3 linked regions of the Saccharomyces cerevisiae S288C genome follow. Changing the gene in region 2 together with the main gene of any one other region gives a genetic interaction. Each region holds a gene or a part of one and is shown on either strand. Other genes may lie near its edges.

Evidence for each region.
Region 1: mutations in YTA12 (region 2) and CDC15 are lethal when combined (synthetic lethality), as found in Saccharomyces cerevisiae (one study listed by BioGRID).
Region 3: of YTA12 (region 2) and COA2, a mutation in one rescues a mutant of the other (synthetic rescue), as found in Saccharomyces cerevisiae (2 studies listed by BioGRID).

What each region holds. Positions count from the first base shown.
Region 1 is NC_001133.9:171,653-176,865, forward strand, and holds CDC15 (serine/threonine protein kinase CDC15), read right to left. Parts: upstream 3,484-5,213; coding exon 559-3,483; downstream 1-558. Other genes in the region: serine/threonine protein kinase KIN3, read right to left, coding at 1-51; seripauperin PAU7, read right to left, coding at 5,204-5,213. UniProt on the Saccharomyces cerevisiae protein: Protein kinase of the mitotic exit network (MEN) essential for late nuclear division in the mitotic cycle. Promotes mitotic exit by phosphorylating DBF2 and directly switching on DBF2 kinase activity.
Region 2 is NC_001145.3:444,994-449,842, forward strand, and holds YTA12 (m-AAA protease subunit YTA12), read right to left. Parts: upstream 3,094-4,849; coding exon 616-3,093; downstream 1-615. Other genes in the region: VBA1 (Vba1p), read right to left, coding at 1-109; YMR090W (uncharacterized protein), read left to right, coding at 4,252-4,849.
Region 3 is NC_001148.4:187,757-190,571, forward strand, and holds COA2 (Coa2p), read right to left. Parts: upstream 758-2,815; coding exon 551-757; downstream 1-550. Other genes in the region: GUP2 (putative O-acyltransferase), read left to right, coding at 1,398-2,815. UniProt on the Saccharomyces cerevisiae protein: Required for efficient assembly of cytochrome c oxidase in the mitochondrial inner membrane. Seems to be involved in the SHY1-mediated step of cytochrome c oxidase maturation.

The sequences.
Region 1 (5,213 bases), on a different chromosome or scaffold from region 2:
CTGCTGCTGCTGAGGACTACGGTATTCTTGGAAAAACTGTCGTCTATGCATACTCACACAGAGAATTGATTCAATTATCAAATAGCACTCTCATTGAAATTAGTATTGTGAATCTTGCTCTTTTCATGTTATATGATTTGATATTCTTTTGAAAAGTCGCTTTTATTTACGTTTAACCTAATTAGGAAACGTAATGAAAAAATTCAGAAACCTTAAAAAAAAAACTTGGCTGTAACCTATCGGAAGACTGTGCCACTGCAATCATGTCAGATATCGTATTTCAGATTTATTGATCTATAGCTAGAAACATTTAACAAAATGCACTTTGAGTCGTTCATACATTTAATCCCCAATTGAAAAAAAAAAGAAAAGAAAAAAAGCATATATATGTATATGCTTTTTTATCATTACTGGCCTCTTTAAATTCAAAAACTTTTCTGATCTCTTTTCCAAACAGATGCGTTTTCAGTATTGGAAGGTTCACAATTCTATATATAGTGTTAATGTAATGCTGTATTATTTCTCTATATATGTATGTATGCACATGCAATTCCTACATTATGTTTGAAATGTTGTAATGGGGACGGAAAAGCCGTCACTTTTATCTTTGGAGGATCGCAAATTACTACGCTCATCTTTTGTTGGAGAACTACCAATTGCTGCAGTGACGCTTGAAACTTTTTGCAGGCTTCCTTTTTTTGATAATGAACGGATATCCTCACATAGCTGACAGATCAAAACTGAGTCCCCCCCAACTTGATTTGAATTCCTTTTTGGGACATCCTTGTTCCAGTTGTTGTTTAAAAACTCCGTTATTTGTACTAAAATGGCACGAAGTTTGAAAACAGTGGCCTTATTACGACGATTTGGTTCGGTTTGCTTTATAGGATCCGGCTGTCCTGTGTAGTCATATAGCTTCAATAACGATTTTGAGAATATTAGCTTTATGAATTTCAATAGATCGATTTGAATAAGTAAACTGTTGAAATAGGTATCAAAGAAAGAAACAATCTTTTCATAAAAGTTCGGGTGAAATATGATATTAATTGTAAGGTTTTCAAAACCGGGCAATGAGCATATCTTCGTGAAAATGCTAATTAGTTTACTGAGGTTAACGTCATCGTCATTCAATGCATAAAACAGGTCAACTAATTGATCAATCGGTAATTCAATAGCAGCGTCATTGTTGACCTTTATGAGGAAAACACTATGAGACTCTGATGAGCCCACTGTAGGAGCCACATCATCATTTACATTGCGTAACGTAAAATGCAAGCAGTTCAGTATGATCTCCAGTCCACTTATGGAGGTGTTATTCTTTTTTCTGATGAAATTCATAGCTGTAGAAAATAAAGAAGCACTCATTTGGTCCATATCCAAACTCATTTCAACGCATATAGCAGTGATTTGTTTCCAAATGAAAGCTGCTGTCTTTGCGTCGTCGATAAAGGGAATGATGGTATCAATATTCCGGATAAAAGCAAAAAAAGCATCGTTGTCAAGCAGATCATTTAAAAAAGTGCTGTTTATATGTACTGTAAGGTAACAAAGCTTGGTGAAGTACTTTAAAACAGATAAATCTTTGATTTGGGCCATGTCAACAAAAAAAGATGTTAGCCAGGTAAAGAAACCCTCCGGTAATTCAATTAGTAGTCTTGATTTTGAAGATATGGTCAGATGGGGAAAGTTTGAAATGCTCTTGTGTCGCATTGGAGAAGAGGGACGCGTTGCCATCAAAGAATGAACAGGGGACCTTGATGGAGACTGTACCGAATTCACTGGTGAGTTCCTCGTGGGTGAGGAGGATAACGGTAGAGAGGAAGAAGAAGGAATAGCGGACTTGTGTATTTTATCGTCATTCGTGGTTATCATATAGTTTATTGATTTGAAGACTACGTAAGTAATTTGAGGACTGATTAAAATTTTCTTTTTTAGCTTAGAGTCAATTAAAGAGGGCAAAATTTTCTCAAAAGACCATGGTGCATATGACGATAGCTTTAGTAGTATGGATTGGGCTCTTCTTTCATGGATGTTATTCAGAAGGAGTGATATATCGAGGTGTTTGAAACACCAGCGACACCAGAAGGCTGTGGATGTTAAATCGTAGAACCTATAGACGAGTTCTAAAATATACTTTGGGGTTTTCAGCGATGCAAAATTCGGAGGATACATTATTCCACATTCAATTAAAGTCTGAGGGTAGTCGATGACGAACTCTTTGGCTAAATGTTCGAATTTAATGATCAGTGGAATTCCTCCCATAGCGATGAATTTCAGTCGCAACCTAGAGTGGTTATGCTGGGTATCGTAAACAAAAATGGAGCCAAATGCAGTTATTAATCGTTTATCAACAGTTGTGCGCGACAGACACTCGATAATTGTATCAGCGATGTTCTCGAGGGAGCAAACACTGAAAAGCACATGCAAGTCCGTCAAAGGCTTAGATGAACTCTTCAATTGGCTCAGCAATTGACTTTCAGTGGGGGGCATTAAATCTAGTTCTTGATTGTTTTCTGCCCAGGCAGCGGGAGCCGCTGCAAGACTGAATTTAGAGGGTGATATATTTAGTTTCTCTTCTTGAAAATCGGCATCCCAATGATAATCAGCGTCGGTAAAGTCCTCCTTGAACTTGTTGAGCTTGTCGACCTTCACATTTTCGGTAGAGTTGATCCACACATGCTTGAGTAACTGGTCGGCTGTCGGCCTCTTGTACATGTTTTTCACAAAGCATTTAGATAAGAAATCCTTTAGTGGCTCAGAGAAAGAGCTAGGTGGGTAGTAGGTATCATTTTCAACAGCGTAGTAGATATTGGCGTCTGTCAAATTGTGGTAGGGTGGATTCTTTGTGAGCATTTCAACTACAGTGGCACCTAGAGACCAAATGTCGCTGAGCGTAGAAGCTCCCCTGTTGCCCAGGATCTCTGGAGCCATCCAATTGAGTGTGCCCGCTAGCGTTAAGGCGCTGGAGTTCACAATAGTGGAAACGCCAAAATCAGCAAGTTTGACAGTGTTATCAGCACTCAGCAGGATGTTAGCCGCCTTGATGTCCCTGTGGATGACTCCTTCACCGTGTAAATATTTCAGCCCCAATAGTGTCTGTGTCACATAGGTTTTCGATTCATTTTCACTTAATCCGGTAGAGCTCCTTGAAATGAGCCTCCTCAAAGAACCATTAGCGCAGTATTCGAGGAGGATATACAATTCATAGCTTTTTCGTATGAAGCCGTGGTATTTAACAATATTGTTATGGTTTAAATTTTTTAACAAGCTAATTTCTGCCATAATGTCATTAAGTTCCTCATCATTTTCGTACACGACCTCCTTTATTGCCACGACTTGGTCAGTATGTTTATTAATGGCTTTGTAAACTACCCCGTAAGAACCCCTCCCAATGACCTGCTTCAAGTGGTATTGCACGGATTTCTCAGATGCCCTCTGGATGGGAGTCAAGTTGACTCTATCGGTATCGGCCATACTGTTCATGGTATAGTCTTACCAGGAAAATGGGTAGTGCTTATGTGTGTTTTGTCCTTCCTCGAGCCTCCAAGTAGAAGATATACCTTTTGTGAGGCAGATCTCCCGTATACAAAAATAACAGCAAGAAAAGCGGAAAGACCATCGCAAGGTGGAAAGGATTATAATGGCACAGCAAAGTCCGCACAGAGCACTACAGTATAGCATAGAGTGCTAATGAGTTGATAGGCCCAATTTTGATTATGCCTCTTTTCCATACACGACGCCAGAGGACATTATTACATTACAGTAGTTCGCCGCTAGATGACAAACGACATCCTTACCGATATGAGATGTGCAAAGCTACATAATGGCAACAAGCGTTATGAACAGCCTTGTCTTTACGACCACAGAAAAGCCGTATTAGAGCTCTTCAGCTGCAAAATTTTCTTCTAATATGATGCAAAGCCATCAAAAATCATGCATAGTTATGAAATACCTGATGAAACGCTTCGAGTTCGTGCTCAAGAAATTACTGAAAGGTTACCGAGAAGAAAAATATCTATGAGACACGATAAGGCCCCTTCTGAATCCATTGTCCTGGGCTTGTTCATTCTATTTACCACTTAAAATTGATCCTTTCAAAGGAATTTTTTTCTATTTCCAATAGTATATTTGTACAAAAACTACAAAAATGGATAAAAAATAACAGTAATTTGTGACTACTGTAAATATCACTGATTTGGATTTTGTAATGAGTACTGCTCATGCCCATGCCGATGCAAGTGGATCATAAATTTTACTAAACGATATTCGATAATGCGCCAAGCCTTTATAAGGAACTCAAAATAACCCATATGGACAGTTTCAGAAGGCCAAATAACGATCAAGGACATTCACTCATGTTTTTCAAAGGCGAAGAGTGTAAAATTTTCTTCTATATAGTTCGAATATTTTATCTTATAAATTTCAGTCGTCATTTTCCACATTCGAACTCAAATAATGATAAAGAACGCTGCAGTAATGGCTTAAAAAAACATACTTTATAACCCATTATCTCTTACGTGTAATTTAAAATTGTTTATAGTACTATTTGGTTATGCTTGTATGCCTCTATTATTTACTTGATCTTTTTATGTTTTCTTATGATTGAATTATTTATATTCTAAATTCCTCACGAATTTATACTGAAGATTTCCTTCCAGGCGAGAATAATAAACACATATTTATGATGATAACAAGACGAACGTGTATTAAGCTCCCAGTACGAGGGAAGCAGTAAAAATTATCCCAAGATCCATTTAAAATGGATAACTCCACGAGCTACAACAAAATACTAAGGGAATAGGCCGTTATTTCCGTAAAGGATGGTTTAATAATAAGAAATTTATAATATTAATAATACATATATACAAAAATTTATATTTATATACATGCGCCTAACTATTCATACTATTAATTTCATATTATTAAGCTTTTTTTTTTTCATTTATCATTTTTTTTCGTAACCTCTCATACCTGTACAGGTTTCATTCGTAAAGCAGGGACTCTAGTTTGCGATAGTGTAGATACCGTCTACGGATAGAGCACTAGAGATAGCTGGCTTTAATCTGCTGGAGTACCATGGAACACCAGTGATAACTCTGGTAACTTGGTCGGCGGGAATACCAGTCAACATGGTGGTGAAATCACCGTAGTTGAAAACAGCTTCTGCAATTTCAACTGGATAAGTTTCAGTTGGGTGAGCAGCTTAGAAAGAG
Region 2 (4,849 bases):
GAAACTTAGGTAAGGCCAAATTATATTCATGAAATTTTTGTTCCAAGGGAGGGGCTTCAGCTTCCTCAGGTGGAGGGAGTAGATTTGAAGTCTCGTCTAGTGTTTGCATTCTTCTTGTTCCCTCAACAACTAGGGCTCTGAGCTTAGTGAAGAACAAAGAGGAGACAAAAAACAAAATAATTCGATAGAAAAAAATCGCTGCTGTATTCTTATATTTTGGGAATGTGGGTTGGCCTAAAGTGGAACCGCATGCTCTTCTCTATCACCGGCCCTTAAGATGACCTACGTTTATTGTCGGACAGATATCATCCAACAAAACGACGCAGTGAAAAAGTGTATCATGCGAATACTGAAGATAAGATAGGCTAAGCCGTGGAATCAGCGATAAAAAAAAGATCGCGTGTATTAACCAATGACAGCCTCACAGAAGCGCTTTGATCATATATAGATATAGGTGCATTTATACACGTATATATATTTACATGTTTTCAGATTAGATTATATGGTAAATACGTGACAGTGTTCTACCGAAAAAGAAAGATGTCTGGCTTTCAATAAAATAAGCAAGATATGTAGAACAGTCTTCCTCCATTTCTTTGTATTGTGAAATATCAATCAGTTTGTAGATGGCTTAGGCTCATTACGTTTTTCGTTTTTTTCTTCTTCCTTCCTGATTTTTTCCGTTTCGTAATCGTTCAAGTACTTATCAAAAGCATCATTCCTTTCTGGGAAAGGGCGCTTACCAAGTAAATCAATCATATCTTCTCTTGTCAAAACTTCTTTTTTCAGTAGTACTTGAGCAATCTTCTCTACATCTTCTGCTTTTTCTTTAAGCAGCTTTGTACATCTGTCATGGCATTCTTGGACGATTCTGTATACTTCGGAATCAATAATGTCACCTGTCTCGTCCGAAAATGGTTTTGTCAAATCGCTATCATCTCTCTTCTGGTAATTGACCCAGCCAATTTTATCACTCATGCCTAATTCTGTGACCATTGCCGTGGCCATGCTAGTAACTTTTTTGAAGTCATCAGATGCGCCACTTGTAACTGATGGGAAATGTAATTCTTCAGAAACTCTTCCACCCAGAGACATGGTCATTCTGTCCTTAAGTTGCTGTTCAGTTAGTAAGAAGATATCACCTGGCAAATACTGTGCATAACCAAGGGCGCCCTGGCCACGTGGAATAATACTGACTTTCAGAAGAGGATCTGCGTATTTTAAGTACCATCCACATACAGCATGACCAGCCTCGTGGTAAGCCACTACTTTCTTCTCTTCGGGAGAGAGTAGCTTGGATTTGCGTTCCACTCCACCGATGACTCTTTCGATAGCTTGTTCAAAATGATTCAATTTTACTGCATCTTCATCACTTCTAGCAGCAATCAAGGCGGCCTCGTTACAAACGTTGGCAATATCAGCACCAGAAAAGCCTGGCGTCAAAGCCGCTAATCTATTTTTCAAATCAAAAATTTCCCCGGCAAGTTTCAAATGATGTAAATGAACAGCAAAAATGGCTTTTCTACCCTCAAGTTCGGGCTTGTCGATATTGATATGCCTGTCAAATCTACCAGGCCTTAATAATGCTTTATCGAGAATATCGGGTCTATTGGTACCAGCTAAAACAACAACGTGGTCAGCTGGAGTGAAACCATCCATTTCTACTAACATTTGATTTAGCGTGTTCTCTCTCTCATCATTGGCACCTGAAAAATTACCCTTTTGTCTTGCTTTTCCTATAGCATCAATTTCGTCAATAAACACAATTGAGGGTGCATTTTCTCTTGCAGTTTTGAACAAATCTCTTACTCTTGCTGCACCAACACCAACAAACATTTCTACAAATTCTGAACCAGAAACAAAATAAAACGGAACACCGGCTTCACCTGCTGTTGCCTTTGCAAGCAAAGTTTTACCGGTACCTGGTGGACCAGATAGAATCGCACCTCTAGGAATTTTAGCTCCCATTTTTTCATAACGAGAAGGTTCTTTCAAGAAGCTAACAAACTCCATAATTTCTTCCTTAGCCTCATCGCATCCGGCAACGTCCTTGAACTTGATCTTAACGTCTGTTTCAGTGTTAAATTTTTTAGCCTTAGAACGACTCAGACCAAATATGCCTCCACGGCTACCGCCCGCTGCTTGTGCCGATCTTCTTGTCAACCAAATAATACCTGCAATCATTAAAACAGTTGGCAAAATTTGGAACATAGCTTTAGCCCAATTGCCTTCTTGAACATATAGTACAGGTATTCTGAAATCCTTATCAATGTCCAGTTCGTCCTGTGCTTTCTGAAGTTTGTGTTCGAAGCTATCAATTGAACCAATTGTGAAATAATAGAAGTTGCGACCGTAATTGTCGGCTTGGTTTTTTCCGTTGTCATTTAACATCACTTTCACCATGGACTTGTTGACAACAATCAACTTCGCAACATAACCTTTTGCCAATAGTTTCTCTCTAAAATCCTGCCACGTTATCTCACTTTGCTCTTCCAAACTGTTGAGGAGATCCAATAAAAACGAAAGGAGGAAAAAAGTTAGTCCTATCTGGAATAAGTTAACATTTTTCGATACAGGATTACTAGGATCATTTAGAGGTGGTTTTGGGGGAGGAGGTGGTGGTGGCGGTGGAATATTTCTGCTATTGTTACCTTCAAAGTAGCCCTGCTCTTTTGTTCTGTTTGACTTGGCTTTTGAAGGACCATTTTCCTCCTCTTTTTCCTTTCTTTCTTCTTGAATTCTGTTAGATTCTTGTTTCAATACAGCATCTTCTAAACGCCTAATACTTTCATCAATTTTGCGTTTCTGTTCTTTCCAGTTAGCCGGTATAGTATTATTTTTAGTTTGTTCGATATATTTTTCTACTTGTTTTCTTATTGCTTCAACCTCTTCGTCTGTGGGAATTTCTTTGTTAAGTTTAGCGTCTTCGTTATTGTCCTCGTTCTTGTTACCGCTCTTATTCTCTTGCAGCCTATTGAGTAGCCGATATTGAGTATGTAAACTCTTGATATGGGTCAAGCCGTAATAGGACCGGAAGCGAACGGGCCTTCTAACTACCTTAGTAGCAATTCTTGACCAAGAAAGTAGCAACATTAGTACTCTTTCTAACTTTAAAGTTGCTTGCCAAGACTCTTGAGTGTGCTATATTGTATTCGTTGGCAGCTCAAAATCTTTCCTTTAAAACTATAGTGGCAAAAGTTAGAGATCGTTTTCACGAGAAAATGATGGGGAAAAATGGACCAAAAGACAAATGTATTCACAATGTGACACCAGATAGCTTGGTGATTAGTATATAGATCTTACAGGACACCGAATAATACCAGAAGGGACTTTCTTATTGAACGAACCGATATGTGCATGCGTTATCCTATAAAGAAATACGTCCGGATGGGATATTCAAACAAGACGCCGGACAAAATAATTCACACATATGGAGGATGTTACGTACATGAGCACAAGACGAACCGTACAAAGAGAAACATACATCATCACTCAGACGATAAGATCATAAATTAGCAGATGACACTTTAGTTTATTCTCTTTGGTAGGTTTTCTACAATCAGAATTATCTAACGGCGAACTTCTGTAGGCAGAGTTTTCGCATCGCCCAATGAGATAATGCACTTTCAAAAGACCACGCTGCACTTGCATCAAATTGGTTTACGAAAGAGCAAAGTCGAGGATTAGCACATTCCGTGTGCCCATACGTTACCATTTTTGACAAAGTTGGCAACATCAAGCGAGACATATCTACAAATATACGTATCAGAATTGTACCCGAAGTATTTCTGGTTATATTCGTTGCTAACCATTTTAACGTATTCAGCCTAGTAGCCTGCAAGAACTATTAATACAAATCGTGAAACAGAAGTTCTTTGAGTTAAAGTACAAAGACAGACAACAGCCCTCGGTGAACCTGTTGGTGTGTGTTTCCTGTATCACAAAACACAAGCGAGCAAAGAAATACGACGTTATAGCTTTTAATAATACGACGAGACAATGTTAGTGGCCGTAATAACTTTCCAACAAAAGTACTTTCCAAACTTTGCTGTTACCTCTGTGATTGTTTAGTACGAAAATTGTATCGCGCTGTCAACAGCAAGGGGCTGCAAGTATTACGTAAGGGTACACTCGAAGTAGGGATATATATTTAAAGTCCCATCGTGACGCTCATAATAGGATACTTTCCCTCCAAATAAAAATTCATTGAAGTTATATCATCGGTATTCATATATTATTGACTTAACAGCCATGTCTCCTATGAAAGTTGCGGTTGTCGGTGCCAGTGGTAAAGTTGGACGTTTATTGATAAACCAATTGAAGGCCAACGATAGTTTCTCAACACCATTAGCGATTGTTAGAACACAGGATCAAGTCAATTATTTCAAGAATGAAGTAGGTGTTGATGCTAGTTTGACAGATATAGAAAACGCGTCCGTTAGTGAGATCACAGACGCTATTAAGGCTTATGATGCCGTGGTCTTTAGCGCCGGTGCGGGTGGTAAAGGAATGGAAAGAATTTTCACGGTTGATCTGGATGGCTGTATCAAAGTTGTTGAAGCATGCGAAAAGGCTGGTATCAAAAGGTTCGTTGTTGTTTCAGCGCTCAAGGCGGAGGATAGAGATTTTTGGTATAACATTAAGGGTTTGCGTGAATACTATATTGCAAAGAGATCTGCTGATCGTGAGGTTAGAAACTCTAATTTGGATTACACTATTTTACAGCCTGGATCGTTGGAACTAAATAAAGGTACCGGTCTTTTGCAACCCCTTGACAAATTAGAAGAGAAGGCTTCTGTTAACTACTCCATTAACAGGGAGGATGTAGCTTCTTTTATTGTGGAAAGCT
Region 3 (2,815 bases), on a different chromosome or scaffold from region 2:
ACAGTCCGGGAAAAACGTAAGTCAATTATTATATTTTGACCAAAGAAAATCGCTTGTTGCTGTGCAGAATCTAATAAAGATGCTCAAGATAGCTTTTATTAGACCTTCATTTAGAAGTGGCAAAATCAAATGAATTGTTTTTTGTCCTTTGCTTCTTCCGCTTCATTTTCTCTTCAACAATTCAGGGTTACACTCAATCACGTGGGATACCATAATTTATCGTTCTACAAAAAAATGCAAGCACGAACTAGGGCGGTAGTTAGGAAGCGAATAAGAATAGCGCTTTTTCGTTTCAATTTGGAATATTAAAGAGTGATATTATTAATGGTTTTCTTTTTTGGAATGTGATCTATATACATATTTAAATAGTCTCTTTTGTATTTGTGGTGTCATAATGAAACTGCATCACACCAGATGCTTACCCATACAGAAAGTCGATTGATTATGAAACTTGAAGTAGCGAAGATTACGGCACTCGAAAATAAATAAAAAGAGGAAATAAAAGAGATAGAATACAACTTATCAAAAGTTCCAGATAGCCCGTACCTGTTTAAATCTTTTTACTTAAAGCATCCTTCCTCTTTAACTCCTGCTCATGAGCAAGCTGAAGCTTGTGTTGCTGTACAGCTGGTGAATCAGAATCCACTGAATGTGCTGGACATGGCAGCACAGAACCGATGGCCACTGATGCGAATGCAATGAGAAATGTAGAAAAGTATAGGTTATTGACTATTTTGTTTCTAGTGACTGCTCTCATGATATGTGTCTGAATTAAACTAATTGGCCTTCCGTGCCTGTAAATTCAATAAATAAATAGGATGTTAAATTTTCCTAATGTGTCTCGAGGTGCTTATGTTATCGTGCAAGCGCTGAGTTCGAAACGCTGTTTTGATGAATATCCTATATATATCAAAAGTACAAACACGGGGAAAGAGAGCCATCCCATCAAAAAAAATAAAAAAAGAAAACCCTTGCAGAAGGAGAACTGGTGTAGAGGTTTCCGGTCTTAATGGACTTAAGCACGTGACTTTTAAAACCCATGCATCGGTTACTATGGTTACCATTACTTACGATTTTTTTTTTTTCGTTATGAACCCTGTGCCCGAGGGGTTTTCAGGCACATAGATCAAAGTTCTACTCGTTTACCTGTAATCTTGGCGCGTTTAGGTCTCTTTTTTTTTCTTTTTTTTTTCTTCTTTTTTCATTTGTACTGCGTTATAGTTGTTTATGGAAGGTACCAATGGTGAATATGGAAAAAATGAAGTCAAATAGAAGAAGAAAGAGAAGCTAGCTTTGAGGTAGGTACTGTTTTGAGGGTTTTTGGGTGCTTCAAATTTGTCTTCTCAACTACCTTATTATAGGGCTCAAAAATAATTGACGTCATCGCTACAAGTCAGATGTCGATGTTAAGAATCTGGAGTTGCATCGTACATTTCTTTTCCGTGCAGGCACTTGATTCACGAATAAAGCCAGACATTGAATTCAAAAGGCGACAAAGGATATTTATCAATTCATCTAAAGAAGAGAATGGTTCATCTTCTAGTGCCGTTACTGTTACCCGTAACCCTGTGCTCAGCTCTAATAGCCCATCTCCTCCGCTATGGAATACATGGGAATTTAGACTATATTATTTGGCGTTCACCGTAGTAGTTCCTTTCATGATAAAGGCGGCATTGGCTACGAGCTCCGAGTCTAATCCAAACTACTATAAATTCAGCGGACTGCTAGCCCATGGTTGGATTCTGGGCCGCAAAGTGGATAACAGCGATCCTCAGTATAGGTTTTTTAGATCCAATTTTTTTTTGTTGGCCATCTTAATATTACTACAAATTATATTAAAAAAGGTTTTTGTTAAATTTAGTAAAATTCCGAAAACAAAATTCGATTTTGCGTGTGGATTAGTTTTTGTCTGTTTCATGTACGGGATCAATTCTGTTAAGCTCTTTACGCATGCTTTTATTTTCTTCACTTTGGCACATTCGCTAAAGAGAAAGCGTTTGATAGCCGCTTTTGCGATTTGGTCCTATGGTATCTTTACACTATTCATCAATCAAAAAATGAAAAATCTCCCCTTTAATAATATTGCTATCATCCTAAGTCCCATGGATCAATGGTATAAGGGTATCGTTCCTCGATGGGATTTTTTTTTCAATTTTACATTATTGCGTTTGTTAAGTTACTCCATGGATTTTTTGGAAAGATGGCATGAACAATTGAGCCGCCAACCTTCGATAGATTACGATGATAGACGACCTGAATTCAGAAAAAGTTTATCTGGTTCTACTCTACAAACCATTTATGAGTCAGGTAAGAATGTTCTGGAGGAAAAGGAACGACTGGTAGCAGAACATCACATCCAGGATTACAACTTTATCAATTTTATCGCTTATATTACTTACGCGCCATTGTTTTTAGTGGGCCCAATTATCACTTTTAATGACTACCTTTATCAATCAGAAAATAAGCTTCCTTCGCTAACGAAAAAAAACATAGGCTTCTATGCCCTCAAAGTATTTTCGAGTTTGCTTTTGATGGAAATTATCCTACATTATATCTATGTGGGTGCAATAGCAAGGACCAAGGCATGGAACAATGATACACCCTTGCAACAGGCTATGATCGCGCTGTTCAACTTGAACATTATGTATTTAAAACTTTTGATCCCATGGAGGCTCTTTCGGCTGTGGGCCATGGTCGATGGTATTGATGCACCTGAAAATATGCTACGATGTGTGGATAATAATTATAGTACAGTGGGATTCTGGAGAGCCTGGCATACAAGTTTTAACAAGTGGGTAATCCGTTACATCTATGT